Linked DNA regions of Rattus norvegicus. The protein of the gene in region 2 purifies or fractionates together with the protein of the main gene of each other region. This does not show direct contact. Links are inferred from orthologs where the notes say so. Each region holds a gene or a part of one and is shown on either strand. Other genes may lie near its edges. The genes, in order: Arhgef11, Gna13 and Arhgef1.

The links.
Region 1: the proteins of Gna13 (region 2) and Arhgef11 purify together in Homo sapiens (affinity purification with western blotting; 3 studies listed by BioGRID). This does not show direct contact. The link is inferred for Rattus norvegicus from reciprocal best matches to the Homo sapiens genes GNA13 and ARHGEF11.
Region 3: the proteins of Gna13 (region 2) and Arhgef1 purify together in Homo sapiens (affinity purification with western blotting; 5 studies listed by BioGRID and IntAct, with this or other methods). This does not show direct contact. The link is inferred for Rattus norvegicus from reciprocal best matches to the Homo sapiens genes GNA13 and ARHGEF1.

The regions. Positions count from the first base shown.
Region 1 is NC_086020.1:175,367,340-175,377,975, reverse strand, and holds the start of Arhgef11 (rho guanine nucleotide exchange factor 11), read right to left. Parts: upstream 5,687-10,636; 5' UTR 4,487-5,686; coding exon 4,455-4,486; intron 1-4,454. UniProt on the Homo sapiens protein: May play a role in the regulation of RhoA GTPase by guanine nucleotide-binding alpha-12 (GNA12) and alpha-13 (GNA13). Acts as guanine nucleotide exchange factor (GEF) for RhoA GTPase and may act as GTPase-activating protein (GAP) for GNA12 and GNA13.
Region 2 is NC_086028.1:94,832,183-94,842,862, reverse strand, and holds the start of Gna13 (guanine nucleotide-binding protein subunit alpha-13), read right to left. Parts: upstream 5,408-10,680; coding exon 5,125-5,407; intron 2,867-5,124; coding exon 2,640-2,866; exon of another isoform or gene 1-2,639. UniProt on the Homo sapiens protein: Guanine nucleotide-binding proteins (G proteins) are involved as modulators or transducers in various transmembrane signaling systems.
Region 3 is NC_086019.1:89,623,048-89,633,388, forward strand, and holds the start of Arhgef1 (rho guanine nucleotide exchange factor 1), read left to right. Parts: upstream 1-3,942; 5' UTR 3,943-4,037; intron 4,038-4,096; exon of another isoform or gene 4,097-5,378; intron 5,379-8,539; 5' UTR 8,540-8,557; coding exon 8,558-8,581; intron 8,582-8,681; coding exon 8,682-8,762; intron 8,763-9,153; coding exon 9,154-9,267; intron 9,268-10,341. Other genes in the region: Cd79a (B-cell antigen receptor complex-associated protein alpha chain precursor), read left to right, coding at 96-389, 603-721, 2,144-2,212, 2,344-2,457. UniProt on the Homo sapiens protein: Seems to play a role in the regulation of RhoA GTPase by guanine nucleotide-binding alpha-12 (GNA12) and alpha-13 (GNA13) subunits. Acts as a GTPase-activating protein (GAP) for GNA12 and GNA13, and as guanine nucleotide exchange factor (GEF) for RhoA GTPase.

The DNA.
Region 1 (10,636 bases), on a different chromosome or scaffold from region 2:
CATGCCGGAAGCCCTGTGTTTTACTTCCATCCCTGCAAAAAAAGGGCAGTGGGGAGAGCAAAACCCACAACAAATTCTAACTGCACCCCACAGAATGACATCTAATTAGCCAAAGTAGAACTCCCTCCCATTCATCCGAATTCCAGGGGAGGAGGCTGGGGAGTAGTCACTAGGTAAAGAGCTAGCCCTGAAAGCACGAAGACCTGAGTCTGGATTCCTGGAGTTCACTGGCCAGTCAGCAAGCTCCAGGTTCAGTGAGAGACCTTGTCTTAAAAAGTTAGATGGAATGTGATTGAAAAAGATGTCTCATGGGGTTGGGGATTTAGCTCAGTGGTAGAGCGCTTGCCTAGGAAGCGCAAGGCCCTGGGTTCGGTCCCCAGCTCCAAAAAAAAAAGAACCAAAAAAAAAAAAAAAAAAAAAAAAAGAAAAAGATTCCTCATATTAACCTCTGGACTCCACATATATGTGTGCATACAATCACAGAGAGACAGACAGACAGACACAGACACTCACACAGACACACACACACACAGAAGCACACACAGGCACACACAGACACACACACAAGCACAGACAGACACACACACAGACACACACACGCACACGCACAGTGATCTTCCTCAGTTGTTTCCCAAGTGCTGGGATTAGAGGATGGGCCACCACACCCTCCTATGAGTATTGCTTTTTTTCTTTTTGAGACAGAGTCTGTAGCTCAGGCTGGCCTAAACTCCCTATGAAGCCAAGAAGGGACTTAGATTTCCGATCCTCCTGTCTTTATTTCTGCAGTGCTAGGATTATAGGAATAAAGTGCTGGTGACTGAACTTAGTTCTTCCTGCACTCCAGCAAGCATTCTACCAACTAGGCTATACTCCCAACCCAGCATTGTTTTCTGTTTTCCTCACCTTGTATACTTCTGCAACAACAACAACAACAACAACAAAATATTCATTCCTAATTTCTCAAAATAACAGAACTTTCTGATACTCCTTAACTTTTAAGATGATTATTGTTGTTTTGAGACAGGTCTCAGTCCGTAGCCCTGGCTGGCCACAGACTTGATTTGTACACCATGTTGGCTTTGAACTTCCAGAGATCCATCTGTCTTTCCTTTCCCAGTGCTGAGACTAAAGGTGTGCTCCACCACACCAGCTTTAACTTGCTTTATATTATTCAATTCATGAAGTAGTGCACAAAGCTAAATCAAATCCATGAGTTTACTACGTAGAATGTAGTTTCACAACTTAAAAAGCAATTTGAAATGTCTTCTCTCATCTGGTTTGTGCCTTTCAACAGCCCTGGAAGGAGATATAATAAGCAAATTTCAAATAGCAAAACCAGAATCGTGTGAACAGGAGCTTAAAACTCCTGTGGCACTGCTGCTCTACATGGGAGGGAAAGGAGAAGACCAAGAATTCTTGGCAGAACTGTATTTTTTCTGGTTTGGTCTTTACATGAGCTACCATTGTGCAGAGAAAAGCCATTCTGTAGATACAAATTCACACCCTACCCAGCCCCAAGAATATTTACCCTGAGGCATAATCTCTATTTACAATACCAAACACATTTTCAGAAAACATTGAAATTAAGATGAAGGGCCAAAAAGATATTATGAAGAAAAACTTTGAGGGCAGGGGTAGCCACATTGTATCTCGTCTTTCACTAATGACTGGTGATCATGAAGAGAGAAGTCATCTAAAAACACTCCATGACTTCCATAGACCAGGTAATGACTTCCATTACCCAACAGGAGAAAACTGAGGTAAAGAACTGCCAAGTAGGTAGCCCAGTCTTTATTTAAGCCACACTCAGTCTCTAGATACATGATCCTCCATCCTGTAACACCAAAGAACCGTTTGCTAAAGTTTACCCTGGATTAACTATATGGCCAAGTCACTGGAACAACTTGCAGTTGAATTCACACTTTTTGGTATGTTCACTCGCCCCAGCACAAATCACAAGTATTTATGGAGCACTGACTATGCACCAGGCACTAAACTTAGCAGAAAGGACAAAAACAAGCAAACCAACAGCCCCTGTTTTCAGAACCAACTGTGCCACTTCTGTGGCCTTTTGGGGTGCTGTACTGTTTAGACAGGGTGTAACTCAGGTTTCAAACTTGTAATCCTTCCTGCTTCAGCTCCCAAGTACTGGGGCTACAAGCATGCACCACAGCGCCTACTTCCCACTTAGATCTCGTGCTCGCAGAAAGAGACGAGTTCTTTTCTAACACTTCTACCATCGTATACAATACATTGGCAAACTAAGAGAATAGGATTCCTGACACCATAATTTGAAACATTTCCTTCTAATCTGTTACTCCAGCATGGCATCAGACGAAATTATCATGCCAGGGGAGGAAGCAAGATTGTGAGTCCCAGATACACGGCAAGTTGGGAAGCCAGCAGGAGGTGACAAAAAAAGTGAATTATTTACATTCATAAGGCACGGCGACTGCGACATCAAGTTCAGCAGTGTACTTTGATTCTATTGCAAGATCAGGGAAGCCAGCAAGAAAAGCCAGAAGGGGACCTCAGTTCCAGGACTGACCCGCTCACTGGGGCAGAGTCAGGCAGGGTAAAGCAAGGAAGACTTTCCCAGGGAATAACACAGTGCTTTAACTCCAGAGATTACAGGTACAAAGTACAGGGGAACACTTGACAACTGCCTCACCCAACTGCCAGAGAGAGCAAAATGGTGCCGTACCCATTCTAAACGGTAAGTCTATAAACCTCTGCAGACAGGATAGGCAACAAAAAGGGTCAGGGATTCAGAATCAGAAGACTCAGATTTTAGACTAGATCCTGACACTCCTTAGAATACTGGACAAACCAGGAATCCACTCAGTCTCCTCATCTGCAAAATGTGAGCAGTGACTTGTCTACCTCACAGATGCATCAAGAAGGTCAAACAAGGAGTGTCCTAATGAGAGCACCTGGGACTCTGTATCTGTGAAGTCATGCAAGCTCCTAGATGAACACCTCATGCTAACCCAGAAGCCCTCACTGCCTCCTCCTCACACCCCTCAATACCCGGTTTCCATCTGCTCACACCCCTGAATTGACAGAAAGTCTTCACCGCCCCAAATCTTAATTTGAGTATACTAATCCCCCAGGTCTAAGGGGAGGGAGAAGGGTGGACTTGCAAACCCTTCACCTCCTTACTCTGACAGCTTCAGTTATCCTTTCCCAGGGGCAAATTACAAGAGACCACAATGGAAACGGGAAGGGAGATGGCAGCTGGCCACACTGCCTCTGTGGTTGCCTGCCTGCTCTTCCCAACTGTAGGCCAGTTCTCCCACACACAGACTACTAAACAGATCTAACTGGGACCCTGAGACAACACAGAGGTGGTGTTTGGGAGACATTATGTTTTAGGCTGCACTCCACAGTCAAAAGGAAATTACTATTAGCATGAATAGCGAGAGGTTAACCGACCCAGAGAGAGCAACTGCTGACTTACAGAGATATTCCTTCCTACCTCGCAAACACTAGTTTTCCATTTGACTGTTAGTTTCCAACCACCTTACCTAGCTATCCAGTTAGGATAGAATATCCACAAAACACACCCTGGTGGACGATTTTTAAAGAGGAAGGGTTGAAGAGGGGAAGGGGAAGAAACAGCAAGGCAGATACTGACCAAAGTTGTACCACCAATCCTTTGGAGGAGAGAACAACCACACTGCAATGCTACCAGTAAGAGGGAAGGCAGATCAGGCTCACAGGGGAGGGGCATCATGGGCTTCCAGCTGATTTCAAGGGCCTAAGAGGCAGAACAACTCCTTCCGGCTTCAAGCAGAGGGAAAGGCCTGTTTTGCAGAGTCAAGCTTATTAAGAACAGCTTGGAAAATTAAACCTAGAGCATCAGCCTGTTGGAAGGTCTCAATTTAAACTCTAAACCTGAAGAAATTCTAATGTGGCTAGACATTTTCAACCACTCGTGATACTGGTGACACTGGCAGGGTGTTTCTGTCCCAACATTTCAGGCCAGAACATCTTCCTCATTTTAATTGGGAACCACCCTACCACCGTGCCCACCATTCCTTAACAATCAGCCTGATGGGCTCACAACCCTGTCCGCCATCTCCCTTCCCTCCCCAGATATCTCAAGCTAGTCTCCACTCACCCCTGTGGGTTCACATAATCAGGCTTGGTCCAGCCTTGGAATCCCTAGGCTAGCAAGTTGGGGACTCAAGAGTCAGCCTTATGCCTGGTGTAGGGCAAAAGCCACTGCACGCATTACCCCCTCCTCTCCATCTTGATTGCTTACTGGTTATAAATGACACAGAATTATGGGATATATTTTGAACATGGACACACACGGAGGGCGCATAAACATATATACTGACAGTCCTCATAGACCACAACCTATCCCACAGCCCAGCCAATCAAACACAACACCTCCCTCCCAGTCTTTTTAATAAGTGTTGGAAAAATCCCAAATTATTTAAACATACCTGTCTATACTATGGGGCAATCGTATGCTCATGGTTTCTCCGTGTTTCCACAGTTCTGGAATCCTGTCGTTTCTTTGGGCGTCTTGATCAGGCCTGAGTCCCTTGCAATTTTCAAGGAAGGTGAGAGGAAGGCCTCCCAAGTTGAAGACTGAACCCTTGTTTCCTCCAGCTGTCAGGACCTTGGGAACTGCGGTGCTAGTCTGCTTCTATCAGTTAACATGGTCTCCTTCCGTAACCCTTTACCCTCCCCTCCCCTTGTCTTAAAAAAGAAAGAAGAAAATGGAAAGTAAAAAAAAAAAAAAAAAGGAAAAACTATGACCTTCTTAGAAACCAAAATGTTAACCACAAATCTCTTCAAGGTTAGCCCTACGGGCTAAAAAAACGAACCACAGAAAGAATCTGACTTCAAAATATCAGTCTTTGCTGCAGACAGATAAAAACCATCCTTTCAATCCAGTTTTCCCAGCTGTCCTTCTGTTGACAGGGAAGCTTTAAGCTCCAAAGGTTGAAATATCTCTGATTTTCAAATGCTTAAAATGCCAACAGTAGAATTATTCCAGGGAAGGAAAAACAAAACAAAACAAAAAGGCTGAACAAATCCGAAATGGCACTTGGGGGAAAAAAATCTTCCAGATGATTTGCACAGTTAAAATAAATAAAACCATACAGCAGTATGCACACAACACAAAGTCCAGTGCAGCCCCGGGAAGCAAAATTTGTGGAATTCTTAAAAATCAAAACAAAACAACAATCTTCTACAGTAAAGGTTTTGAATTCTGAAACAGCCAATTGTGCAGACACAGAGAGACACACAAAAATCACAAAACACCTGAAGCGCAATGCTTTCTACCTTCAAAACGGTAGCATTGGCCAAACCCCAGGAAATCTTAAACCTTCTTTTCCTTTTCGACCTGCAGGTTCCTCCACCTAGTCCAGTCCCGTGCTCAGCCACAGCCTCAGATCGGCCTTTTTCTCAGACAAATTCCTCAGTCAGCTCTGTGTGCTCCTGCACGTCCAGGCTCGGAAAGTCTCTCTCGTCGCAGCGCCCTGGAGCGGAGGTCCCGTTTCTCCTCGCCCGCCGATCCTGCCCGGCGACCCGCTCCTACTATTGTTGCGGCTCGGCTAGGGCCAGGGCGCCCTCCACAGCGGCGCGGAGAGCCCGGGCCGCGGCCTCGGCCTCCGTGCCCGCCCGCCCGCCACAGCCTCCCCGCTCGGCCGCTCCCGGCGTCCGCGTCGCGGCCGCTGCGCTTCCGGCCCCGCCCCCCCGCGCGCGCTCGCTCGGGCCAAGCCCGCGGCCGCCCGCCCGCCTCGCCCCGCCCCGCCCCGCCCCGGCCGACTCCGCTCGCCGGGGCTGGCCGCTGGCTCCTCCTTGGTGCCGCCCGCCCTTTCACAGCCCCGCGCGCCCCCGACCCGCGCGCTGCGGCCTAGCTGCTCCCGGTGCTTCTGTCCCAGAGGCTCGACCTTTGTTTCTGCAGTGTCCGCGGGCCGCGCCTCGATGTCCTCCTCTGCCCCTTTTCACTCATTTGTCGCGCTCCTTTCCAAGTTACCAGGAACCCTCCTAGCTGTGCCTCGGCCCCTCTGAGCACCCACTGACTCTGCCCTCGCGGCTGTGCTCGAATTAGCTTGGGTATCTTGTATGGCTCTGCCTTTTAATTTCTATGCAAAATCTTTTCCAGGGCAATGTTGTTTTGATGACACACACCCCCTTTGTGAAATCACGGTTTCCAAATCTCTTCCTGTAACTATCGGTAGTCAGAAGTAAAGATTGAAGTAAAAAAGGAGACAGAGGAGGAATTGTAGTTTTGCTTGGGTAAGCTATGCAGGCACTGGTGCGTTTCCAAGTATTCTCTTTCTGCCTGCCCTGGTCTTGGCCTACCTGTGTTAGCAAGAGGGAAAATAAACTGATTAAGCAACTATTTAGGACCTACTAAAATCAGATTTCCCTACTTCTTTTCCAGTACAGGTTGATGAATGCACTTTGCTATAGTGTGTGTGTGTGTGTGTGTGTGTGTGTGTGTGTGTGTGTGTGTAATATGTGACTTTCTGGTGAGACACATCTGTTCACATCAGATAGGGCACCAACAGTTTTACTGAAGCCTGTTCTTGAGAGTTAGTGGATTTATTGGGGTTGCTTCTAGAAACATGAGCCCCTAAAGGCAGCTGCACCAGCAAAAACCCATCCCAGCATGGGTGAGGACAGTGGACTACTGACCTCCACCACCGGAGCTGTTGGACTTGATATTGCTTCTGTAACCCTGGGGAGGAGCATTGTGACTCTTGGTTATTTCTGAAACTTCTTGAAGTTTCTGAGTGCTTACCTTCTGAATCTTAATAACTGTTGTGCTCTTCCACAGGTGTGCTTGTGGAAACCAGAGGACAACTGTGGGTGGCATTCTTCCTCAGGTGCCAAACAACCTCACCCCTTCCTTGGAGTCTGGTCTCTCAACAGCCTCAGCTTGCTGAGTAGGCCAAGAATGGCTGGTGAGTAAGTGCCATCCTTTAACCCTTCTCAGCATTGTGAATACAAGTTCACAGCAACCAAAACTCAGCCCCTTTTGTGTGATCTAGGGGTTTGTTGTGTAGCAGTTGCCACTCAATTTGGAGAAAATCCTTTAAGACATAGGATATGAAAAGGGAGGTGAAATATATATATATATATATATATATATATATATATATATATATATTTTAGGCAAGATGTTCAAAGGAGAGGTAAAACATTCTATCCTGCGGAGAAGCTCCTTAAGACAGGAAGTAAAAACTAAAATATGGCTTTAGAAAGTTCCTGAAACTGACTAGATTCACTAGACACCTCCCTCTCCAAATATATATAATCGATAAGAACTATTTAGCATCATTCTCAGACAATCTAACTTTAAGACCAACTAAGCAGCCTGGAAGAGGCACAGAAGACTGAGCCATCTACCTAGAAAGGACACACCTGTTAGCTGCTGTAGAGTCTGTGGTGTGCTCCAGGTTTCCAGCTTTTGTGGATGTGCTTTGGTGATACCACTGTCTCTAAGTCATTTCTGTTCCTATAAGAAAGTCCCTACCCACATTTCTGTAAGCCACCCTAATAAGCCTCATGGGTTCACCAAGTTGGACTGTGGTGGTGTCCATACTGTGCTGTGCTCTTGGTCCCTTTCTGAAGTGGGTAGATACTTGGTTACATCTTCTCAGGAAATGTCTGTCACACAATAGGGTTGAATGCAGGTTCTTGTACTTGCAAGGCATGGTTTTTTGTTGTTGGTGGTGCTGGTGGTGGTTTTTGTTTACTTTCTTTTCTTTTTTTTTAACCAACTGAGTTTTATCTCCAGGTGCTTGTTTCTTTGTTTTGAGATAGCATTTTCACAAAGCATCTCAGGATGCCCTCAATCTCTGAGCAGTCATATGTGGGACTTATTAGAATGGCTTACAGACTGTGGTCCAACAATAGCTGTCTACCAATGGAAGGAAGGGCCAAGATAAGAATCCAGTAGCCATTCAGTCCATAAGGCTGGATGTCTCGGTTGGTCTTCACTATACAACAGATTCCTGAAGTGCATTTACCAGCAAGAGTGAGAGCAGGGAGAGAGAGAGAGAGAACACACGTGCTTTATACAGGTGTGGCCCAGATTAAAGGTGCATCTTCCCACTTCCAAAGATCCAGATTAAAAGTGGGTCTTCCCAGAGTGCTTACCTAGGAAGCCCAAGGCCCTGGGTTCGGTCCCCAGCTCCGGGTGGGGGGGGGGAACAAAAAACAAAAAAAAAAAAAGTGGGTCTTCCCATTTCAAATGACTTTATTAAGAAAAAAAAATCTCTCAGGCTGGGCATGGTAGCTTGCTTCTTTAACCTTAGCACTCGGGAGTCAGAGGCAGGTGGATCTCTGCTAGTTTGAGGCCAGGTCTACAAAACTAGTACTAGGACAGCCAGAACTACACAGAGAAGTCCTGTCTCAAAACCACAAAACAACATAAAGCAAAAACAAAAAACAAAGAAGAAAGAGAAGGAAGAGGAGGAGAAGGAGGAGGAGAAGGAGGAAGAAGAAGAGAAGGAGGAAGAAGAAGAGGAGGAAGAAGAGGAGAAGGAGGAGGAGGAGAAGGAGGAGAAGGAGGAGGAGGAGAATATCCCTCACAGATATACCAGGCTACTTGGGTTTTAGTTAATTCCAGATGTAGTCAGGTTGACAACCAAGAACAGCCATCACACTTTCACTCCTTGTCAACTTGACACACAATCATATCTCCTTAAGTCATGCTTAATTTCTAAATGAAAACAATAACTAGGTCATAACTACATATAACATGATAAAAACTATCCCTCATATGATTAATTACAAATGCATTATGTATTTAAACCGTAATTACCCCAATGTGATATAACTATTCCTCATATAATCAGAAGCATATTATAAATTTTAGAGTACATGGTATTATCTCTTTAAGTATCTCAAAGTTAAATATTATAAACACAGATACTCTCTTCATTGATATTACATCACGTGATAAAGAAATTGAGGAAAGGGGGTTGGGGAGTTAGCTCAGTGGTAGAGCGCTTGCCTAGCAAGCACAAGGCCCTGGGTTCGGTCCCCAGCTCCAAAAAAAAGAAAAGAGAAAAAAAAAAGAAATTGAGGAAAGAAAACACAAATATATGTACAAACACATGCTTCACAAAACATGAGAGAAATATTTATGTCAATTATAATCCTTGTTTCTGCATCTGGTCATGTGATCTTATCTGGTGTCTATAACTACCTTCCTCTACTGCCCATTCTGTATTTTCTCCACTCTCGCAAGCACCTAAGTAGGTCTTGGCTTTTTTCTGGGAGGAGAGACCCATACCTTCATTCCTGAAGGGTCTGTGGTCTTTGTCATCCTGCCTGGATTAGGTTGTTGTAGTTTCCCATTGACTTTAATCACCAGACATGGTAGCACCAAAGGGTCTCCTAAGGAACTCCTGCAATGCAGACATAATCTTTCTTATCTCTATTGCAGAGAAGCAATCCAATTTTCCCTTGGTAATCTGGATCAACCACCCCTGCTAACACTGTTATTCCTTTCTTAGCATGTTGGCTTAATGGTACCAGAAGCCCAAAATGTTAAGTGGGGAGGTCTGAACTTCCAGTTCAATAATGCTTGTTGTGGCTCCTGGAAGGAACACTCTTTCCTCTGGAATCAAAACTTTTAGGCCAGCAGAAATTAAAGTCATGGGAACAGGAAGCAAAAATCCTAAAGGGTTAGTAAGGTGTAATAGTGAGTGACACTATTCCCTTTTCTAACCCTTGACTCCTGGACCTGTAGATCCTAGCTATGGGAGAAACCAAACCATATATTAGATATATATTCAAAGGTATTTAGATATATATTCAAAGCATATACCTCCTCTGGCAAACTCTGCAGATAATGAAGAATTGATTTCCTCAGTCAAAGGCAGGAAAAGCAGTATTTCAGGGTTTGGGGTGAGAGTAAATCTTCTGCTGAGGGTGGAGACTACTTCCTCAGGTAAGATAAACCCTCAAGAATCTGAGAGTTCTAAGTTCTCAGCTTCAATTTGGTCCTCCCATACGTCTCCATTCCAAGTTACAGGATCCCCCCCCCCCTTTTTTTAAAGATTTATTTATGTATGATATATAAGTACACTATAGCTGTCCTTAGACACACCAGAAGAGGGCATCAGATCTCATTACAGATGGTTGTGAGCCACCATGTGGTTGCTGGGAACTCAGGACCTCTGGAAGAGCAGCAGTCAGTGCTCTTAACCACTGAGCCATCTCTCCAACCCAAGGATCCCATTCTTTACCAGTTAATGCCCTTACTTTAATCACTGATACCTTCTAAAGCTAAGAATTAATTTTTTTCCCCGTAATTCAGCCAACCTAATAAGAGCTACAGTTTGATTTTCTGAAACTTGAGCTCTGTGAGTGCTGGAGAGGTGACTCTCTTCCAGGGCACATTTAGAAACTTTCAGATGAAGGAGAAAGTTGCTAGACGGACTGCATTGATGTCTATGGGTCCTGCTGCCACAGGGAGCCATACTGTTATGAGTGACCTGTGCTGCCCCCTGAGGCCGTGGTAATGTCTAGGTGCCTGCTGTTGCCCAGGGCCATGGCTAGATCTGTTACTCTCCACAGTTACTGCTGGATGCTGTGCGGAAGTCCGAGGTCTGGGCTGCAGCCTGAGGCCATGTTGATGTCTGTGATCTGA
Region 2 (10,680 bases):
TAAAGATCTAATGTATACATGTGACCCAGAAAAACCATGGCAGAACTATATAAAGAGAGCTAGGGAAGTGGAAAGTCATGCCACATGGGAATTAGGAGGTTACGAGGGTATGTGTGGCTACCTATCAATTATACTGTTGAAATCATGGGTAAGCTAACTGGAGCCTTTACCCACAACAAGAGGTACATTCTCCAGGCAGAAGTGCGCTCTCTGAGTAATCCCATGCTGTCTCAGGGAGACCACTTCTGAAGTGTTAGAGCAACAAAGAACACCACAAAAAGACGTGAATGAACTCCCAAACTTTACGGAAGAGAAGACAGCACGTGGGCCTCTGCTCTACGAGGGAAAGGTGCTGACAGTGACTTCAAGCAAGGTGCTCTCTCAGTGCCAAACACCATTACCCATTCAAAAAACACAATAGTCAAGTACCCACCAAGGCCAGGCACTGCTGACAGTGCTGAAACACTCTCAGGGTAGGACAATCCTCAATCTGCTTTACAAGTAGATGCCAACTTTATTTTCTTGTCTGTCCCTCTACTTTTTTATCCGGGGTGGAAAGGTATTTCTGGAGCCTGCCTCTCCCTGGTGCTGATAGCATTCTTCTACTGAAACATTAGCTGGCCCGAGTCAAGAAGACACAGGCCTTCTGAGTAGGTTTGTTTATTCGTAAATAAAACACACACACAAACCTTTCTCAACAAGGACACAGACCTTAATATGAGACTCAGATGTGAAAGCACAGATTCACAATCTGTCCGTGACACCCCAACTTCAATTAGGTAGGCTTGGGACAAACACAAGTTTCTTTCCCACAGGGAACTGTCAGGTCCACTGTTGTTCCTTTATTCATGGAGGGTGTACTGACTGCTTACTGTGGGACAAGCTGTTTTCTCCCTGGCCTTTGGAAGATAAACATCTGAGAAAACACTGGAAAGGGAGTCTACCGAGAAAAGAAACTAAGGAGGCCAAGAAGCTACCCTCAAACAGGAGGGTGGAGAAGAAAGCAAGGAAAGGGGATATGTGGGGAGCAAGCCCAGACTCCAGAATACAGTGACGACAGGGACCAAAGGTCAAAGCTAGCCAGAAATCTGGTGACTCCATGTCACTGATCAAGTTAAACTCATACTTCTTGATATACAATGCTGCCAGCACTCAATGAGATTTAACATGATGTATATCCACGATGAACTATACTAGCCAGACATACTACATTAAACAGTAAGGAGCACAAGACATGGGTTTAGCCAAAAAGATACCATAAACCTTCCTTGTAATTGTTCTAGAAAGCATAGACTGTTCCTGAATACTGACGGCACTAAGGAAGTCTGGTGGCTGTACATCTCTGTCTAGTCACACCCATGAGGATCTCTTGAGTGTTCATGACATCATCAAACAATTTCCTAAGCAGTTTTGCTTTAACTGTCACTCTACTGTAATTACATTACAGGAAAGTGCTTAGGACCTGAACTATTGCTAAACTGCACACTGACCACATTGCTACTCTGATGGACCCTTTCTGGTTTTCGGCAAATAGAACCAAATACAATCAAAGCGCTCACAATTAGATTATAAACCATTTGATTAAAAATTCCATCTCAATTCTTTTTTGTATCTTTGTTTTTTAAGTCGGGGCCTTGCTGTGTCACCCAGGCTGGCCTGGAACTTGTGATCCTTCTGCCTCTGGTTTCCAAGGAGCTAAGATTACAGGCATGAACCACCACCTAACCCAGTCCATGTATCTCTCTTTAGCCCTGGGTTATATCGGGCTTTCCTACTCTTTCTTCAATGGTGTATAACAGCTACAAAGTATCTTATAGTCTTTTTTAAGATAAAGGAGGGAAAACAAATGGAAATTATTTCCCATGAAAATAGTACTTTGTTTCTTATAAAGAAAGAGTTCAGTCTCTCAGCTAGCCACAGTGGGACTCATGTCTATAATCTCAGCACTTAGGAGGCAGAGAAAGGAGGGTTACTGTAAGTTTAAGGCTAGCCTGGTCTACATAGCAAGAAAAGAAAAAGACTCTAATCTCTCTATAGCAAACTCATCTGTGTCACTGGGTAAGTGGTTCAAAGGCTGACTGGAACACGTAAACCACCACATTCACCAACCAAACTTCTATTCTAAAAAGCCATCGCTGGAGAAGAGCATGGAAGTCACAGTTGTAAGAAAAATAACTTTTTAAAGAGAACAAAATTAGAATACCGGGGAAAGTCATTCCAACCTTACTTTCTAACCAGTAAAACAGCTTTACTACACCTACAGAGTTGACCTCATTTTTAACCTTGCTTAGTAAAAGGCACACACAGCAAACCGAGTTTCTGAGGCTACAGTTTTGAATTGATACATTACACTGTGGAAGTCTATAACAGTGTGCTAAACCTGACATTGCTAAATGTCATTAAACAGAAGCACCTCAGGGTTAGGGTGGCTCAGCAGGTAAAACACTTGCCCCCAAGCCTGAGGACCTGAGTTTAATGCCCAGAACCCATACCCTAGGAGAGAACCATCTCCCACAAGTTGTCCTCTGGCGCCTACACATGTTCTGGGGCATACATGTACCCACACACACACATAAATAAAACCTCGAAAAATAAAAATAGATAAATAAAAACACATTTTAGACAAGCGAATGTCTTACCAGTTGGAATTCCCGGCGCCGATCGTAGGCATTCTGTATGCCACTGTCATCCCATAAGGCTCTTATAGCAGGAAGATACTGCAAAAAAACTCGAGTCTCCACCATCCCCTGGGCAGCCATGGGAGCTCGGGTATCAAATGCCATCAACTTGTCTCCGTGGACCTGGTTTTTGTTATCTCCCCAGGGAATATGAAGCTTCTCTCGGGCATCTACCAGCACCCTCATACCTTTGTTTAAAAAGAAAAAAAAAAAAAAACTGTGAGGAAGAGTCATGAAGATACCACCAGAGGCTTTGGCCCCAGGGTTGGTCAGTATTGGTTCCTTAATTTTTAGCTATCACAGAAGCCCCACTTCCAAAATGGAGACCAAAATCAAAACAAAACCTTTATGTTCTCAGAGTTAAGAAACAAGTAAGTGTTCATTGTTTCTCAAAACCAGAAGCCTTGAAAATATTAATAACAAGAACACTTTGGGAAGGATTTTAATATGCTGCGATTCATAAAAACCATTTCTGGAGGAGGGCAGTCAAAACCAGAGACGGAAAAAATAAATAATGTTGTCTAGCCTGAAGCCAGGCTAAAGTCAGCCTGGCACACGCTAAGAACGGTTTACGGTGTGCAGTCGTAGTCCTTCAGCTCCCTGCCCACACTATCTTCTAGGACACACTGAACCTCAAAGCTTCCTCAGTCCAAGCTTCTAATCAGTGCAGTCACACACTGGCTGTAGAGTTACCCAAAAGGAAAACCAACTGCAAAATAATCCGAGACTGCACTTACACAGGTTAGCCCGAACTCCACGACCCTGTGGCTACACTGCTACTTCTGTCACCGGGAAGTCATTTCTTAGGATACTCGAAGAAAAAAAATTAAGCTTTCACTTTTCTGACCACGGCGATTGAAGAAAATAAGATGCCTAGTTAGACTTAGACTTGATCACACAATAATGCTCAAAGTAGCTCTTAGGCCCAGTGTATAAGGAAAAGCAGGTGATTTCCCTCACTCACAAGTCTGTTCATTAACATAATTCTTTTAAGTTCAACTGTATCAGGATACAAAGGTACCTTCAATTAAGGGCTGGCAAGGTGCAGTTTACAGCCTTAGAGGAGACTTTAATTAGTTTTGTGCTGAGCATTAAGGCAGACTACCCACAACCATCCTTTTCACTTAACAGCAAAGGTACAAGGTCTTAAGTAAGAGCAAGCCATGGTCTGCTCTTGGCCTCGCCCTGCCCTCTCCTCTCACTGCCCAGCAGCGAATCCTCTTTAGTTCTTCCCTACTTGAAACACTGATGGGGGGAGGAAGGGACCCATGAGGGAGTTTGCTTATGCACTTCTTGAACAACAACAAAAAACTGGCTTTGAAACAACTCCCTGAAAAGACCTACAATCTTACAGTTTGCTTCTGAGCCCAAGATTTAATAGGGTGACTCCTCGACCCCTCAGAAATCGGCTGCTGTGCCCCAATCCTGCCAACTTCTCTTACACAGAAAATATTTGACACTAAAGGGGAAAAAAGGGCGATTCTTTTAAATGACAAAATAAAAAGCCACCTCCGCGACTTATCTGAACACTAAGGAATACTTTGTGTGGTTTTCACTTAGGAACAGTCTTTAAAACACTGTTCAACAGGATTTGTAAAGCCCATCATCCAACTCAATGCATATTCCCCGCCTCTCACTAACTTGTCTTGGATGGTCTTCTAAGACTTTTATGCCAAAGGGTCTTTATATTTAAACATGAATTCGTTTAAGCATTGGTAACGATGCCGTTTTTCTCCTGCCTCAAGTTATTAAGCAAAAAGAAAAAAAAGTGTGCAACATGTTGGGCTGTAATTACAAACATCCTGTAGCAATGAGCCGATAAAACCACTGGCGCTATTTTTTTTAATAGACTTTCCTGATGCCAGTTCAGTAAACGCGAGTTTCATACTCTTACCTCAAAAGGCTCTAGAGGCTGTCACTCTATGCCCTTGACAAGAGTCTCAGGGCAAAAAAAAGTTTCCTCATTACGACCGTTCCAGAACTTGCTTAAGTCAAGAGGTGGCCTAGGACGCCCAGAGCTGTAAGGGTGACAGACCGGGTTACTAGAGTCACCCACTCTGGACGGGCAAATAAGGGAAGAAGAATAGAACCTAAAGCTACTGATGGGTGGTCGTGCCTGGAGTTCAGGGAGGACACAAGTTGCCCCGCTGCCCCGAGTCACTCTGCTCGCCGCACTTCCCTCTCGGAGGGGGCGAGGCCAGCCGCGGAGTGCGGGGCCGACCGTGACCCTCACTGGGGTAGCACGGGGAGGGGGCGGGGGGACAGCAGGGCGTCCCGGATCGAAGGGACTCGGGCACCGCAGCGCACAGGACGGTGACCGAGGCGCGCCCACAGGATTGCCCGTCCGATCTGGTCTGGTTCGGTCTCCTCAGACTTGGGACCGGCGGGTGAGGGCGGTGCCCAGCCCGGCTCCCCTGGGGTCCCCAAGCCCCGCCGCGCCCCGCACCTTTGATCACGTTGCTGTAGATGGTGGGGCGGAACTCCTCGCGCGCGCGCTGGTCGAAGTCCTGGCCGTGGATGATCCGCATCTGCTTCAGGAAGGTGGACTTGCCGCTCTCGCCCGCGCCCAGCAGCAGGATCTTCACCAGCCGCTTCACGTAGGTCTTCTCCCGCGACAGGCATTTGTCGATCTCCTTGGACTTGCGCTGCTGCTCGGCCTCGCCGTTCGTCAGCACGCAGCCCGGGAAGCACACGGACAGCACGGAGCGCGACGGCAGGAAGTCCGCCATCTTGCCGCCGCCGCCGCCTCGGCGGGCCCCTGCGGCTCCTCCACCTCCTCCTCCGGCAGCGGGTGGCTCCGGCAAGGCGGCTGGAGGGCGGGGAGCGCAGCGGCGGCCCGAGCGCGCCCGGGGAGGGAGGGAACCCGAGGACTGACTCGCCAGGGCGGGACGCGCCGGCCGGGGGAGGGTGGGAGGGAAGGAGGGCGGGCCCGGGGAGGGGCGGCGGCCCTCTGGGCGTGCGCGCGCCCGCCGCCTGCCGGGTGCGCGCACGCAGGCACGCAGCGGGGGCTGGGGGGGGCGGCGCGAGTCACGCGCTCGCTGGCCTGGCTGAGGCCAGGAGCGCGCGCGGAGAACTGCGGAGTCCGGGGTCACGTGGGCCAACCTGGGCGCGCGCGCGCCTGCGGATCCAGAGTTTCTGTTTCCCTTTAGTGCCACCGTTTCCCGGAGCCCCGAGGCGAGTAAGCAAAGCCCATCCAGACCCCTTTCCGTTAAGGCATCCTTATCTCTACAGTTTCCACTGCTCTTTCCCATAGTTCCTCGCCCGCCGCTTACTGTCACCTTCACGCGACCATTGGCTGGGACATCCCTGCACGGACCAGGGCATTCGTTACATTTTGCCTTTTTTTTTTTTTTTTTTTAAATTCTTGAGACAAGTTCCCTGCGGCTGTAGCTGGCTTAAATCTGTGACAATTGTCTTATCTCAGCCTCCCTGTCTACTTCTGGTATTACAGGCCGGCCAGGGCTTTATTTCAAGCTCGTGCACTTAATTAGCAGCGGTCACCGCCTCCCCCCCCCACGGCCCTCACCCTACCCCTGCCATCCTAACCATCCCGAAGGATAAGTAGATGTCGGATGTCCTTATTGATCAACACCTCTTCCTAGCAGCTCAGGGCACTATTGATAACCTGCCCTGGCTGGCTCACTAATGTGGATTCCCAGCCGGGCTGCATTTGTGACTTGGGTAATGCCTGCTGAGGTCAGTGAATGGTGGAGAGGGTGAGGTCATGTTGAAAATCCCCCTAAACCGGACACTATGATGCGATGCTCATTCTTCCCAAGGAAGCAGATAAGCGTTCAGCCTAGGACTGCGGCAGGCACATTTTAGGTTTCCTGCCAGACTTCAGAGGATATGACAGACAAGAAAAATTTTTTTTTCTGTCACACCAGCAGATCAGGCCTAACACCTGAAAAGACTCCCAGGGAACACGTGACAAGTGACATCTGAGTGACTGTGTAGCAAAGACCTCAGAAGCCAACTTCTTCATTCTTTGTCAGTTTCAAAGGGGAAAGGCGGTTTGATGCCTGTCTGGTTTTGCTCCTGGGTCCTGGCTTGTGCGCAACTTGGGAACTTCCTGTGTGTTAGGGAGCTGGGGTAAGAGGTCAACACCGTGATATGCGCAAGTTTAAATTTTAAAAACCAGTGCTGTAAATCAGTCAGTCAGTTACTGTCAGTTTGGGCCAGTGACTGAGAAGCTCATGACTCACTACACTGGCTGCAGTAAACAATACCTGTAGTGGAATTGTCTCCTGTTACACCCACAGAGACTGTGAGTGGATCTAAGCCCACAGACTAGACCGGCTGCAAAATAGGCTGTGCTCACTTTCAGAATCTGTGGATTGCTAAGGTCAGGCCTGATTCCAAAGTCTGCTATGGATGGATGGTCACTATATAACCTTGACCACTGTTAGAGATGCCCTCCCTGTTCAGGGTCCATGGAAAGGCTACCCAGGACAGGTAGGTGCGAAGCCCTTCGGGGTGACCTCCGTGTTCTAATCTGAATTCTTTAGCAGAAACAGAGGAGGGAAATGCATACGTTAGATTAAGCATCTTCGTTTTCCTGAGGTGTGCACAACATAATGGGAAAGCAAGCATGCCTAGGAGGCAGGAAGGGATTCCTGCCTGGCCAGTTCTTGTCGGGACTTGTAGTACAGCAGGGAGGCTGTTCAAAGCCCTGAGTGGAACCTCGCCTCGGAACAAATTTGACTGGAGTTGAGCCTGGCTGCTCTAATCAGGGTTTCTGAAAAGAAACGTTTAAAGCCGGGACCCGGCTTTGGTTGCTGCGTGTAAACCAGTGATCAAGACACTTTGCAAATCATAAGCATGAAAAAGTCAGTTTAGTGGTTCTTCAAAAGCTAAACACAGAACTACCACGTGACCCGGCAGGTCCACACCTAAGTGTATACCCTCAGAAAACCGAGAATGCTGCTCAGGCAAAAACTTGGACACCCATGGTCCTGGCAGCGCTGTTAAGAACAACAACGACAAAATAAATGAATAAAATTTAAAGGGGGGCGGGACTTAAAAAGACCCAAATGCCCATTGGCAAATGAATGGCTAAACAAAATGAGATTCATCCAAGCAACAGGTCTCCCAGTCAGAAAAAGGGTAAAAGTGCTGCTAGAAGGGACTGAGGAGGTGACTCAGTGTTTAAAGTGCCTGATGTTTAGACATGAGGGCTGTAGTCTGATCTCCCGGAGCCCACAATAATGCCAGGTAGCATAGTGGCTTAGAAGACAGAGACAGGAGGTCCAGAGCACACTGACTAGCGAGGTTAGCTAAAGCAGCAAGCTCTGGGTTCAAGTGAGATCCTGTCTCAACGAATAATGAATGCATGCTCGCAGGTACACGCGTGTGCCTCTACAGACGTGAACATTTACCAAACATACGCTGATACACGTTACAAGAATCAACTTCGAGAATATCACCCTCAGCGTGGGAGGCGCCTATGGTATGGTTTGGTTTCTGTGAAATTTCCAGACTAGGTAAACCTGCAGAAATGGAAAGCCTAGTAGTCGTGAGGGCTTGAGAAGCAGGGAGGAATGGGGAGAGCTTAATGGGCTGTTTCCTTTGAGGGCGAGGAAAGTGTCTGGAAACCAGAGAGTGGTGATTGTGACAGACCACTGTGACTGTACCAAGAGCTGAGCTGCATAGGTGAAAATGGCCAAGCCATTCATATGTAAGGCGAGTCTCACTACAGAAGGAAAAAAGTGAATTAAGAAAGAGCTTTGTTACATAAATGATACTTGGCATCAGCTGACGCTAACTTTATGGAAGCGCCAGTCTGTAACATTAATGAAAGAAAGGGCCACTATGTAGCATCTAATGAATAGGGATGTTACACTGTGCAACCTGTCCTGAATGGCAGTGCCACTGTGTCAAACTAACACGGAGCAAGTGATTTACAGAAGAAGTGGCTGTCTCCCCTTACGGTGTCATGCATTGGTGATATTCTCAGTCACCGTGTTTTTCTTAGAGGGAAAAAATAAAACTCTAACTTCTAAGGGATGGCAGAGCCTACCTGTTAGAATTGAGCCTGCTGGAGCCTGTTTCTAACAGATCCAAATGTTCATTCTTAGGAAAGGTGGATATCTAGACTAGTCAGTCAATCCGTATGCAAAAGAGTGGTTTGGCCCTGCCCCAACCCCAAGCTGGGTTACAATGATAGGGACACTTGAGCAGTTGCACTGTTTTTTCTGGAAGGTCAAAGTTTAGTGGCAAGACGAAAGGAGCCCTTCCTTGTTTGCTATCTCCTTCCAAATCGGTCCACAGTCCTTCAGAAGCTGAAAGACTTCTGTCTTGAAGTCACTGTTTATGTTTAATTTTTGAAAAATGATATTACTTAGCTTATTTACCAATCTCTGTGCCAAGTAACTTTGGCCTGTTTACAAAAAAAAAAAAAAATCAGGATTATCCACAAAGGACAAAAATGTGTCACCCTCAGACATATTCAAAAGAATGTGTCAGACGCTCCAGCAACAGTTCCAAAGAGGAGCTAAGAAAGAAAAAATAAAAAGGTCTTTCTTTTGAACGATGGCAAATATAATTCAAATAAAGGCTTGGCTTACCAAGGTGACTACTTACTGGTCAGGATGGGCCAACACCCATTTTGACGTGTTTATTTAAAAGTCAGTCACATCAGTTGGCAGTTAAATCTTGAGTTAACTTTCTAATGGGGGACAATGACACATGCAGCGTTGGACTTGCGAAACTCTCACCGCGTGAAATAGATGGATTCTAATCCTTCCTTACAGATAAAGTAGGCATGAATACTCTCGTGTGTCCCTTTCTCTTCCAGGAAGGGAAGGGAGCAGGGGATTCCTGAGCACACTCCCCCCCTCCCCCCCCCCCCCCATAATACAGGCCTTGCAGTGTGTAATGTTTAAAATGCCTGCAAGCACTCTGACCTACTTTATCTCATTCACTCCTCACAATAGCCCGACTAGGAACACTAGGCCCTAGCCTCCTGCTCTTTGGCCACCGCAAAAAGCTGCCAGGAGGAAAAGCTTAAACGACTCCCTTAAAGTTTCGCTTACTGTGGCCAGCTGCAGAGCCTGCCAGGACTGGAAGCACACACTATTTTGATTGGAGGGGGAGAGGGAGGGCGTGAGACAGAGTGCCTTGTAGCCCAAGCCGATCTCGAGCTTTGTGTGGTTGTTGGTTCTCGTTAATTGGTTGAAACATTTTAAATTGATTTATGTGTGTAGGAGTGGTTTTTGCTTGCATGCGTATATGTGCGGCACAGGCATGCATGGTGCCTGAGGAGGTCAGAAGTCATCGGATCCTCTGGAACTGAAGTTATAAGTGGTTTGGAACCGGCATGCGATGCGGGTGCTAGGTACAAGAGCAGCAAGTGCTTTAGACTGCCGAAGCCTCTCAAAAGCACCTCATATGTATATGCATGTATGGTTTTATTGAGACAGGCTGTCATGGTTTGCAGCCCAGGCTGCCCCCCCCCCACCCTGTGTGCTGCACAACTGTGCTTGTGCAGGTCAAAGCCAAAGGGGAGCTTTGGGTGTCTTGTTTCATAGCACCCCACCTTATTCCCTTGGTTCCTTATCACAGGTCTCTTCACTGAGCCTGGAGTTAGACTAGCAGCCAACAAAACTCAAACCATCGCCCCCAGCCAAGGGGTTACAGGTCCATGAGGCCACAACCTATTTTTTATCCTGGGTGCTGGCAATTCACACTCAGATCCTCATGCTTGCACAGCACTTAGCCTCTGACCTTGAACTCTTTATTCCCAGACACTGGGATTTCAGGCATGAGCCACTGTGCATAGATCCTTCTTTGACCGCTATCACAGTGTTCTCTCTGGTACTCCCAACTAAGCCCAAGGCTCAGAATCCCTGGATGGGTAAAGCTCAAGTCTGAGACAAGAAGCAAACTGTATTTAGCTTTAAGGGACTGTAGTGTTCTGCCGTTTTGTTTGTGGGTTGGTCTGTCTGTTTTTCCAGCCCCATCCAGGCTGGCTGCCATCTTGAAGTTCTCCAGCTGTTAGACT
Region 3 (10,341 bases), on a different chromosome or scaffold from region 2:
GACTCCACTCCTGAGAGAGCTGGCATGAAGGGGGCTGGAGCAATCTTCTCCATCTCCAGGCTCTGACCCATCTGTCTCCTCTCATCTCTCCACAGGTCCTGGATGCCAGGCCCTGATGTTAGAAAGGGATCCACCATCCCTGACGGTGAACTTGGGTGAGGAGGCCGTCCTCACCTGTAAGAACGACGGCAAGAACCCTAATATCACATGGTGGTTCAGTCTCCAGTCCAACAGCACATGGCCCCCAATGCCACTGGGTCCTGGCCTGGGTCCCATGGGCAAGCTGATCTTCCCCGAAGTTAACAAGAGCCACAGGGGCTTGTACTGGTGCCAAGTGATAGAGAGCAAAGAAGTAAAGCGTTCCTGTGGCACTTACCTCCGAGTGCGCAGTGAGTAGGGAGGGGCACTGACCCTGGAGTTCTGTTCTCCGGCTCATCCAGAACACTGGAAGCAGAGAGCCAGCTCCTCCCTCCTGGACCTGCAACCTGTAACCCTGGCAGGTCACCTGCCAGATGGTGGCTTCAGGGTTCCCTGACCTCGCAAGGAGCAGGGCTGGGAGAGGAAGGGATACCAGAACACTAAGCAGCACCCTGTCTTCACAGAGCAAGTCCCGAGGCCCTTCCTGGACATGGGGGAAGGCACCAAGAACCGCATCATCACGGCAGAAGGGATCATCTTGCTGTTCTGTGCAGTGGTGCCAGGGACGCTGCTGCTCTTCAGGGTGAGTCTCTCCACGGCGACACCCTCAAATTATCTTGGCTTGCCTGGACTGTGACTCCCAGTGTCCAGCTGGTCCTCTGAATCCTGAGGTTCCTCCTTCAAAGTTTGGGAGGCTGGGAGTAACCCCCAAAAGGATTTCCAGTGGCACTGAGCTCTAGTGGGGTCAGCCTGTCCCCACGGCCCTCACAGATACCCTCTCACTCTCCTGCTGACCCACCAAAGGGAGTCCCCTGCAAATGCAGCCAAGACCAGGGAAGGAGGTGTGTCCTCCCAGAGCCCCTGCTTCTCCTTAGGCTACAAGACGTTGTTTTTTTTTTTTTTTTTTTAAATGGGGTTTCACTATGAATCCCTGGCTGGCCTCGAACTCACAGGGATCCACCTGCCTCTGCCTCCTGAGTGCTGGAATGAAAGGTGTGCACCACCATTGTCCTGCACCTTATTTATGGTTTGTTGTTGTGTACGTGGGCACTCGAGTGTGGAATCGGAGAACAACTTTCAGGGGTTGATTCTTTCCTTCCACTGTGGGATTCCCCACATCAAATTCATGTCCTCAGGTTTCCATGGCAATATCCTTACCAGCTTGAGCTATCTCCTGGACTTTCTTTGCTTTCACTTTTTTTTTTTTCTTTTCTTTTTTCCGGAGCTGGGGACCGAACCCAGGGCCTTGTGCTTGCTAGGCAAGCGCTCTACCACTGAGCTAATTCCCCAACCCCTCACTTTTTTTTTTTTAAAACCTAGACATTAGTCTAGGCTAGCCTCAAACTTGCTGTATCTCCATGGCTGGTCTGATTTGTCTTTATCTTCTAAGCACCGAAATTACAGGCATGCATCACAACCAGTTTTATTTTTGTTTTTGTTTTGACATTTTTGTTTGTTTTGTTTTTGTGGGTAGGGTAAGACAGCATCTTGCTATGTAGTTCAGGCTGGGATGTAGCTCACTATATAGATCTGGAATTCGCAATCCTCCTGCCCTGTCTCAGTTTACCAAGCACTGGAATTACAGATGTTCAGCACCACTCCCAGCTCACTGTTACACTTCTTGAGGAACAGTAGAGGGCCAGCATGGTGGCACACAGCTTTGATCCTAGGAACACTTAGGAGGCAGAGGCAGGCAGATCTGTCGGGAGTTCAAGGCCAGCCTGGTCCACATAGTGAGTTCCCAAGTAGCTCTTACTACATAGAGATCTAACACTGTTGGTGGAGTGGAGTGGCAAGCACATGCAGGCACGAGGCAGGAGACCGAGGCCCATAAGAAGAAAGAGAGGGGAAGAGGGGTGGAGATAGAATCTGCCAAGATCCCAATATGTGGCCTCGGGGGTGTCCCTTGCTCTTTCTGATAAAGCACTTGCTAGTAGAAGACGGTCTAAAAGCCCTTCGCCTCCCTCCTCGCTAAATGCCGCTTCTGCCTCATCCCCTTCCGTAGAAGCGGTGGCAAAATGAGAAGTTTGGAGTGGACATGCCAGATGACTACGAAGATGAAAATCTCTATGAGGTAAGTATGCCTGGGATGCAGCAGGCAGCCTTGCATGGCGGGTGGTGTCTGCACTGGGTCCCACCCTGGAGTTGACTGGGAGGGAGCAAGGGCCGCAGCTGCCAGGGTACTGATGTCTCTGTCCCCTGCAGGGCCTGAATCTTGATGACTGCTCTATGTATGAGGACATCTCCAGGGGACTCCAGGGCACCTACCAGGACGTGGGCAGCCTCCACATTGGAGATGTCCAGCTGGAAAAACCATGACTGACATCCCCCCACCCTCCCCACTCCCCATCCTGCTGTGCTGTCTGCCCCTGCCTGCCCTATGCCCAACTCCAGAATCCCTGCCCCTGCTGCTCTTCCGCTGTGCTTGTCCCTCTGAAGTGTCCCACCCTTGCCTCCAGGCTGCCCCACCCTATTCTTGTCCTTCCCCCTGGGGTTCCCTCCCTAGTGGGTAATGAGCCCTTAATCGCTGCCTCTAGGGGAGCTGATTACAGCAGGCTCGTTAGTGTCACCCCCCTCCTCCCAGATCTGTCATGGCCACTTAAGTGATAATAAATCCTTCCCAAAGCAGCCCTTGGCAGGAGTCATGGATCTCATGTGGACTGCTCCTCAATGCTGCCAGGGAACCAGGAGCAGAAAACACAAGTCCCCTCCTCCCTCAGACCCAGGTTTCTGGACCTAAGTTCTCACCAGACCACTTCTGAGATCTGGGACCAGACAGTCTTGGCTGTCTGTCCTCACCAACCCCACAACCCCCAAAATAACAGGAAGTCTCTTGGGGAAGTCCCCACCCCAATTGAAATGCTGGTTTATCTCCTTTATAGGGCCTCACCCTCCTCACGTCCCTAAGCAAGGGGGAACCAGCCCGGGCCTTACCAAATTTTTACCCATATTTAAGCTCTGAGAACACAAGGTATTATTTCCAGGAGTGGGACCTAATTCCCTCATGGGTTCACTTGCCTAGGCAGATTTGGAGAGTTTCTGTCAAGAACCTGGGGATGATGGAGACATCTAGAGTAGTCATTGGGATGGGAAGAGCAGACTCAGAAAGGTTGTTAAAGGACAGGAGGCAAAGAGGAGACTCAGGGAATCCCCAGAGACCTGGATGCAGAAATAGAAGCCAAAGGAAGAAACAGACACAAAGTGGCTGGCCTGGGCCCCGGGGGATAACAACAGTTGGGGAAAGGACAAAGCCTGAAATCTCAGAGAAGAGACAGCCAGCAGCAAGAAAAGGCCCAAAGTGATCAAACGGCACTGGGGAGCTGCATCAGGGTGAAGCAGCAGAGGCCAGAGAGCAATGAGTGCTGAACGGGCCCCTGACATTGTGGACCTACAGTCGGAAGCCCATCTAGCTTTGAAAAAGAGACCAGGGTGGTGGCGCACAGCTTTAACTTTAATCTCTGCAATCCCAAGGCAGAGGCATCTCTGAGTTCGAGGTCAGCCCACTCTACACAACGAGTTCGAGGCCAGCTAGGGTTACAAAGTGAGCCCTTGTCTCAAACTGAGAGAAAGAGAGAGGAAGGGTCAGGGCAGGAGCTGGGCAGCAGCAGGACGGGCGGCAGAGGCGGACAAAGGCGAAGGGGAGCCGGGCGGGGCCGTGTGGGGCCGCGCCCGCGGTGAAAGGAGGAGCCGTGCGGGTGGCGAGAAGGGGAAGGAAGCCGAGGTGCCGGGCGGGCACGGGGCGCGGGCAGGAAGCGGGGAGGGGCGGCGGGCGGGGGCTCCGGAAAAACGCCCCGACTTCCTGCCCGCTGGAGCCAGGAAGCCGGAGTCGGGACGCTGGGCCGGGATCGCCGAGCCCGACCTCGGGCGCCCCGCCGGTCACCTCCCCGCGCGGACACCAGGTACACCGTCCCTGGCCCCGCCCGGCCTCCTCCCCACTCCGCCGCTGGGGGAGGAGCAGGGAGGGGACCCGGCGCCCAGGGCCTCCCGGGGGGGCGCCCAGTCGCCTGCAGTCGTCTTTCTCTGCCCTCGGTTTTCTCATCTGTCAAAGAGAGCAAAGAGAAAACCCGGCGCGGTGACGCACGCCTGTCATCCCAGAAGTTGGGAAGCAGAGACAGGTGGATTGCCATGAGTTCGAGGTCAGCTTGCGCGACCTAGCGTGACCCCCGCCTCAAAAGGAAAAACAAAATAGAGAGAGAAGGAACGAGCGAGAGAGTGCATAGTAGGTAGAGATGAACTAGGCTGGGATCCAGGCTCCCAACTGTTCAGTGCAGAACGATAACACCTATTTATCAGCAGGGAAACTGAGGCCCAGGGAGTCGGACTGCCTTGTTGCAGGGACATACACTCTTAAGTAAGATAGCAGCTGGGACTTGAACTCGAAGCTGTTTCCTGTAAAGCGCTGTCCCCGCAGTCATGGATGTTTGATTAGAGCTCCCTAAAATAAACAAGTATCTCTGCAGAGCATTTTGAAGCTGAGAGTAACAGAGCGTTGAAAACGTCTCAGAAAGCTTTTTGATTTTTACCCTCCTCTGTGTTATTAATTATACTCTGGGAGATGGCTGTAGGGGAGAGAACCGGAAACATATCCGCATTGAACAGATGGGACGACTGAGGCCTAAAGGGAAGTCATTGCATTTTGCAGGTTGGTCTGTCAGGAGGAAATATATGCCCAAGCGCATGGGTGTTTTATGTTTTGGTTTGCTTTTTTTGTGTCTCTGTGGGGTTTTTGGATTTTTGGTGTTTTTTTTTTTCTTTCCAATTACAGCGGGAGGAGTTGACAGTGGTGACAGGGAGTCGGTACACAAGCATTTGGAGTTTAATAGGTCCGAGTTGGGGAGGTAGACAAGGTGGAACTTAGGACCTGAGCGACTTGAAGTTTCTCGGAGCTGGAGCCCTAAACCGGCGCTGGAACCATCCTCCACTCCTGCGAAGGGGGCGGGGCCCGGGAGAGTGACAGGGGCAGTCGAAATACGGAAGCGAGGGTCCTCCAAGACAGACCAGAGCGGCCCTATTGGGCCAGCGTGGCGCCGTGTAGCGCTAGACCAGCCTGCAGGAGGAGTGGAGTTGCCGAGGCCGGAGAGTGTAGAGGGCGGGCTAGAGCGGCCGGAGGGAGGAGTGGAGCTGGACGCAAAGGCGGCCTCTGGCTCGGCTAGAGCGACTCTGCGGCGCGGGTGGGGGAACCTGGAGCTCGAGCGCGGTTCCTGAGGCTGCAGTGGCTTGCTTCTCTTCCCATCCGACAGGTGAGATAGGCAGCCTTGGCTGCCGTGAAACCTGACCCCACACGTCTTCCCTGCCACCTACACTGCCACAGTTGCAGAATTATTGAGGGCCCGTGTAGATCAGCCACGTCCCATGTAAGATTTAGGGCTCATGAAGAGCCGCCACGTTACACAGGTCAATAAGATCTTACATACCTTCCAGGTTTCAGGAAGCCTTTCACGGAAACCCGGCTTTTAACATAAACATAGGCTTCTCATAGACCAAGGCAGGGCCCTACAGAACGCACCACACACCACTCTCGAGGTCCCATAAACCATTAGTTTTCCCTTTAGAATCACCATCTTTCTGGATTCTTGAGGCCCACTATGTATCAAATAGAATGTGGGGTTGTATACATTCCAGGGCCCTCTTGTAGTTTTTTTTTTCAAGGCTCCTAGAGGTTCTTGGACACCTGAATAATCCTTTCCAAAGGCTTGTTGAACGTGAGCCCTTAGAACGAACCCAGGTACCTTTATGTGCTTCCTTCTACAGGACCCCCCATTGCATAAACCTAAACCTGCCCTGACTTCCCCCATCCACCCCACCTCCAGAGCCTCAAGTGCAAAATGCTCCCTCTGCCGGACACTGGTAGACTTTGTCAGTGGCTTCATTTTGCCAACTTTACCTATATCTAATTTTCAAATTCTCTTTGAGCCCAGGCTTCTGGAGCTGCTGAGTCCATCCTGGTTGACTGCTGAGGTCACGGCAGCCACATGACTTTTCCAGGCACCATCAGACATGATGTGTCTCAGACCCTAATAGATGGACATTTTAGTGTCCTAAGGCCAAAATGTCGGGGGGGGGGGGTTGGGGGGAGGGAGGTGCCTCAAAGCAATGTTAATATGCTGAATGTTCAAACTGTGGAACCAGACTGTCTGAACCTGAATCCTGGCTCTGACTCTTATAAGCCATGCCTCAATTTCCCCCTCTGTAAAAGAACAAACCAAAATAATGCTGGCTTCATTGGGTCAGTGAGAGGATTAAATTCTTTAACATCTGTAGACAGACCCTGAACCCTGCATAGAACCTAAGCTGGTGTGCCCCATCTATGCTGTGTCTGAGGACACGTGAAGTGTCAGTCATTGTTCCTTATCTTTGTCATGGGGAATACGGGGATAATGCGCGTTAACTGTGCGTGAAAATCAGGGTTTTGGTGAACATTTGTTTAAATTTTGTACCTTCCTTGGGTTCTGTTTTTTTTTGGGGGGGAGGGGGAGGTGAGTGAATAAAGACTTTAACATGAGAGTTAAGGAGGCCATTTTGGATGATGTGTAAGAGCCAGGTATGGTGGCACACACCTTTGATTCCAGCACTGGGGATTAGGAGGCAGGCGGATCTCTTGAGTTCAAGACTGGCCTGCTCTACGTAGTTCCGGGACAGCCTGGGCTACGCAGATAAACCCTGTCTCCTGTCTGAGATGGGGGTAGGGGAGGATAAATGTTAATCTGGTTGCTTTGTTTGGTGATGCTCAGGGTACAACTCAAGGCCTCTTACATGACTGAACACATATCCTGTCATTGAGCTACACCCCCCAAACCCTCCTTGGCTCCTTTAGGGTCTCTCAGGTGAACAATTTTCCTGCTGAGATGAGCATGGGGGCTCTGGGTCTGGGCATGGTTTCTAGCCTAGAAGGTTGTCTGGAAGGGGCGGTCTTTGGAGGCATCAGGTTTTTCAGGAGGATGAGTGTACACGGGTGCTAGTAGTCGGGAGTTGGTGGGACTAGACGCAGTGTTTCCCTCCTATAATACCAGACCTTGAGAGATCAAGACAGGAGGAGGCCAGTCCTCAGAGTGAGATCCTGTCTAGAAGAAAAGCCAAGACTGAGTTGGTATAGCCAGAGCAACTCTCACATACCGTATGGGCTTATCTCTCATGATAACCACTGTTTCTTTGCTGGCTTGGTTTGCACGTTTATTTATTAAACACTCAGCAATGTTCACCCGAGCTTTAATGGTGGACAGATACAGCTGAGAGAGAATACAATGTCTGCTTGGGGGAACCCCCAGCCATGACTTCTGGACACTCCAGAAGGCGTCTTTACTCAGAAATCAGAATCACAGCAATGGCTCATTGAGTGCTAGGGAGGAGGCTGATGGAAGTGGGAGAAGGGCGGGCCTCAGGCAGCCGGAGTTATAAATAGCTTTGGGGTGTGGGGACCCACCGCCCCCTACTGGCCCACCCCACACTCTTTCCACCATTCCTTCCCTCCTGACACTGATCCACACAGCATTAGTCAGACTAATTAGGGTCTGGGAGACGCTCAGAAAAGGGAGAGTAGAGGGAAGACGGGATGAGGAGCCGAGACTCAGTGCGGAGCTGGACAGAACCAACACCGGCAGTGGAAGGACGGCTGTGGGAGATGAGGGAGGAGAGATAGGGAGGCAGAGGAGTGGCCAGCAGAAGTGATGGGTCTGGGAGGAGAGGTGGACCACAGATTCCCGGGACCACAACTGCTTCAGATTGAAAGGGGTGGCACACACCTGAGAGTGGGCTGTTGAGCCCCACCCCCTCCATCATTTTCTGGAACCATAGCTACAAAAGCTGGGAACTGTAGGGAATCACCAGGCTCAAGAGCTCAACCTGTCTGACTGAGAGGGACTCAGTTTTGTTTTCTCATGTAGAGGGAGTTGGAGCTTGGGGGTTCACCATTGACATTTCCTGTCACAGGAAATGGGGCTGGTGGGTTCAGAGGCAACATCCTGGCCCAGGTCTGCCACAGATCAGAATATATAGCCCTCCTCCTGCCCCCCCCCCCCAATACCCTTCCTAACTCCTCCTCCTTAAGGACTGTTCTTTTAACTTTGCTTGTTCTAGAGTCCTTCCCCCTGGAGGACTAGCCAGCCCTCTGGGGCCCTGATCCTTCTTTGTTTAGTGACCCAAATTAGTGGCTTTTACCACAGCCACCCAGCCCACCCATGGACCCATGCTCCTGGGCTCCAGTGCCCGCCCGCCCCCCTCCTTGGTCTCTCCGCCTCAGCTGGGCTGTGAAGAGCTCTTTGTCGCCACACAGAGGCCCCATTGAGTTTAGGAGGCTGGGGGTGGGGGTGTTTACTCACCTTCCGCACCTGGGCCAGGAATCTGTGAGTAACTGCCCAGCCTTAGGCACTTCCTCTCCGCCCCTAACTGCTCTTCCTCTCTGCAGCCCCGTGGAGTCCTGGAGATGGGAGAAGTCGCCGGAGGGGCGGTGAGTGCGGTGCTGGGAGAGGATCTGAGCCAAGGTGAGGGAGCTCTGGTGCTCTGTGAGGTGGAAGCCCTGTGGATTGAAGTCGTGTCTCCCCTTGTAGGCCCCAGGGCCTCCCCGGTCTGGCCTGGTGTCCATCATCATCGGGGCTGAGGATGAGGACTTTGAGAATGAACTGGAGGCGGTGAGCAGGGTGGGGTGGGAAAGTGTCCACCAAGGGCCTAGTTCTCCCTCCTGGGATGTGTCCTCTCCGCTCACACTATCATCTTCCACCCCATACCGAGTGTCACCGTCCACTGTAGACTGCCACCTTTCTCACTCTAACCCCAGCCTATCACTACCCCTCCCCCACTTGACTCATATCCCTTCTCAGTACTCAAGTTCTCCATAACATCCCAGTAACATCAAGTCTCATGCCTTCTTCCCAGCTACTTGCCCTTACTGTCTGGGTTGTAGCATAGGCACATCCACCCCTATTTCCACCACCATTTAGAGGTGCCAGAGACTGGGTAGGGCAAGCCTAGGCTGTCCCTTCTTTCCCCGTGGCACTCAGCTCCCTTGTCCCCACCCAACAGAACCCAGAAGATCAAAACAGCCAGTTCCAGAGCCTGGAGCAAGTGAAGCGTCGCCCAGCCCACCTCATGGCCCTCCTGCAACACGTGGCCCTGCAGTTCGAGCCAGGACCACTGGTGAGACGCATACAGGGGTTGGGGGCAGAGGAGGAATGAGGCTAGGCAACTAAGAAGTCTAGAAAATCCAGAACACAGTGTGAGTTTTAGAAATAGGACCCCAGACAAGGCACAAAAAGCAGGCTTATGCCACAAACAGGCTTGCAGATGCCCGGGTGAGCCTTAGTAAGCAGGGAGCCCAGGCCTCAGTACATACAGCAGAATCTGGCATCCTGACAGATGGCATGTCCTGCCCTTTACCAGCATCTCCAACTGGTAACGTTGTCCCTCACCAAGCTGGCCTTGGCTGGGGACAGCAAGGCCTTCTCAGCAGGTATCATCCGTTAGGTTGGGCAGGTGTCAAGGACTTGGTTCCCTTAGCCATCTCAGACTTAGAGAGCGCCTCAGACCTTGATCCAGAAACCCAGACAAACTCCATGTGGTTGCACTAGAAATGTCTTGAGCCTGGTGTGATAACACACACCTTAGAGGAGGAGGCAGGAGCACAGCCACGCCTTCAGTCAGCTGAGGTACAGGGCAAGACTTGACCTAAAACTACAGAAACTTCCAGGACCAAGCAGGAGACACCTGGGAGGCACAGATAGTGAAGTATGTGGTCTGGAAACACCTATAGAGGTGAAACCCCCGGTCCCTGGTTTAGCAAGAAGCCACGGCACTGGCTGAGGGTGGGTGGGAGGGTAGGTGGGTGTAGGATAGGGGGTTTAGGCCTAAGGAGACTCAATATCACCCAGTACAAGCTATTCGTCAGGGGATGATGTCCAAGAGTCTTGTACTGCATGAAAATGCACAGACAACCCCCCCCCCCAAATAAAACAACCTAGGAGACTAGGGGTGAGGAAAGATGGGCCCAGCGGTTGGGATGTAGCTTAGTTGATAGAAGAGAATACCTAGCAGGTACAGAGGTCTGGGTTTGAGCCTGGGCATTGCATGAAGCAAGCATTGATCCAGGCTTGTGATCTCAGCACTCAGCAGAAGAGGAGGATCCTCAGCTACTTAGCACGTTTGAGGCCAGCCTGAGCTACATGAGACCTTGTCTCAAGAACAAGGCATGAACTAGAAAGCTGGGGCCAGTTG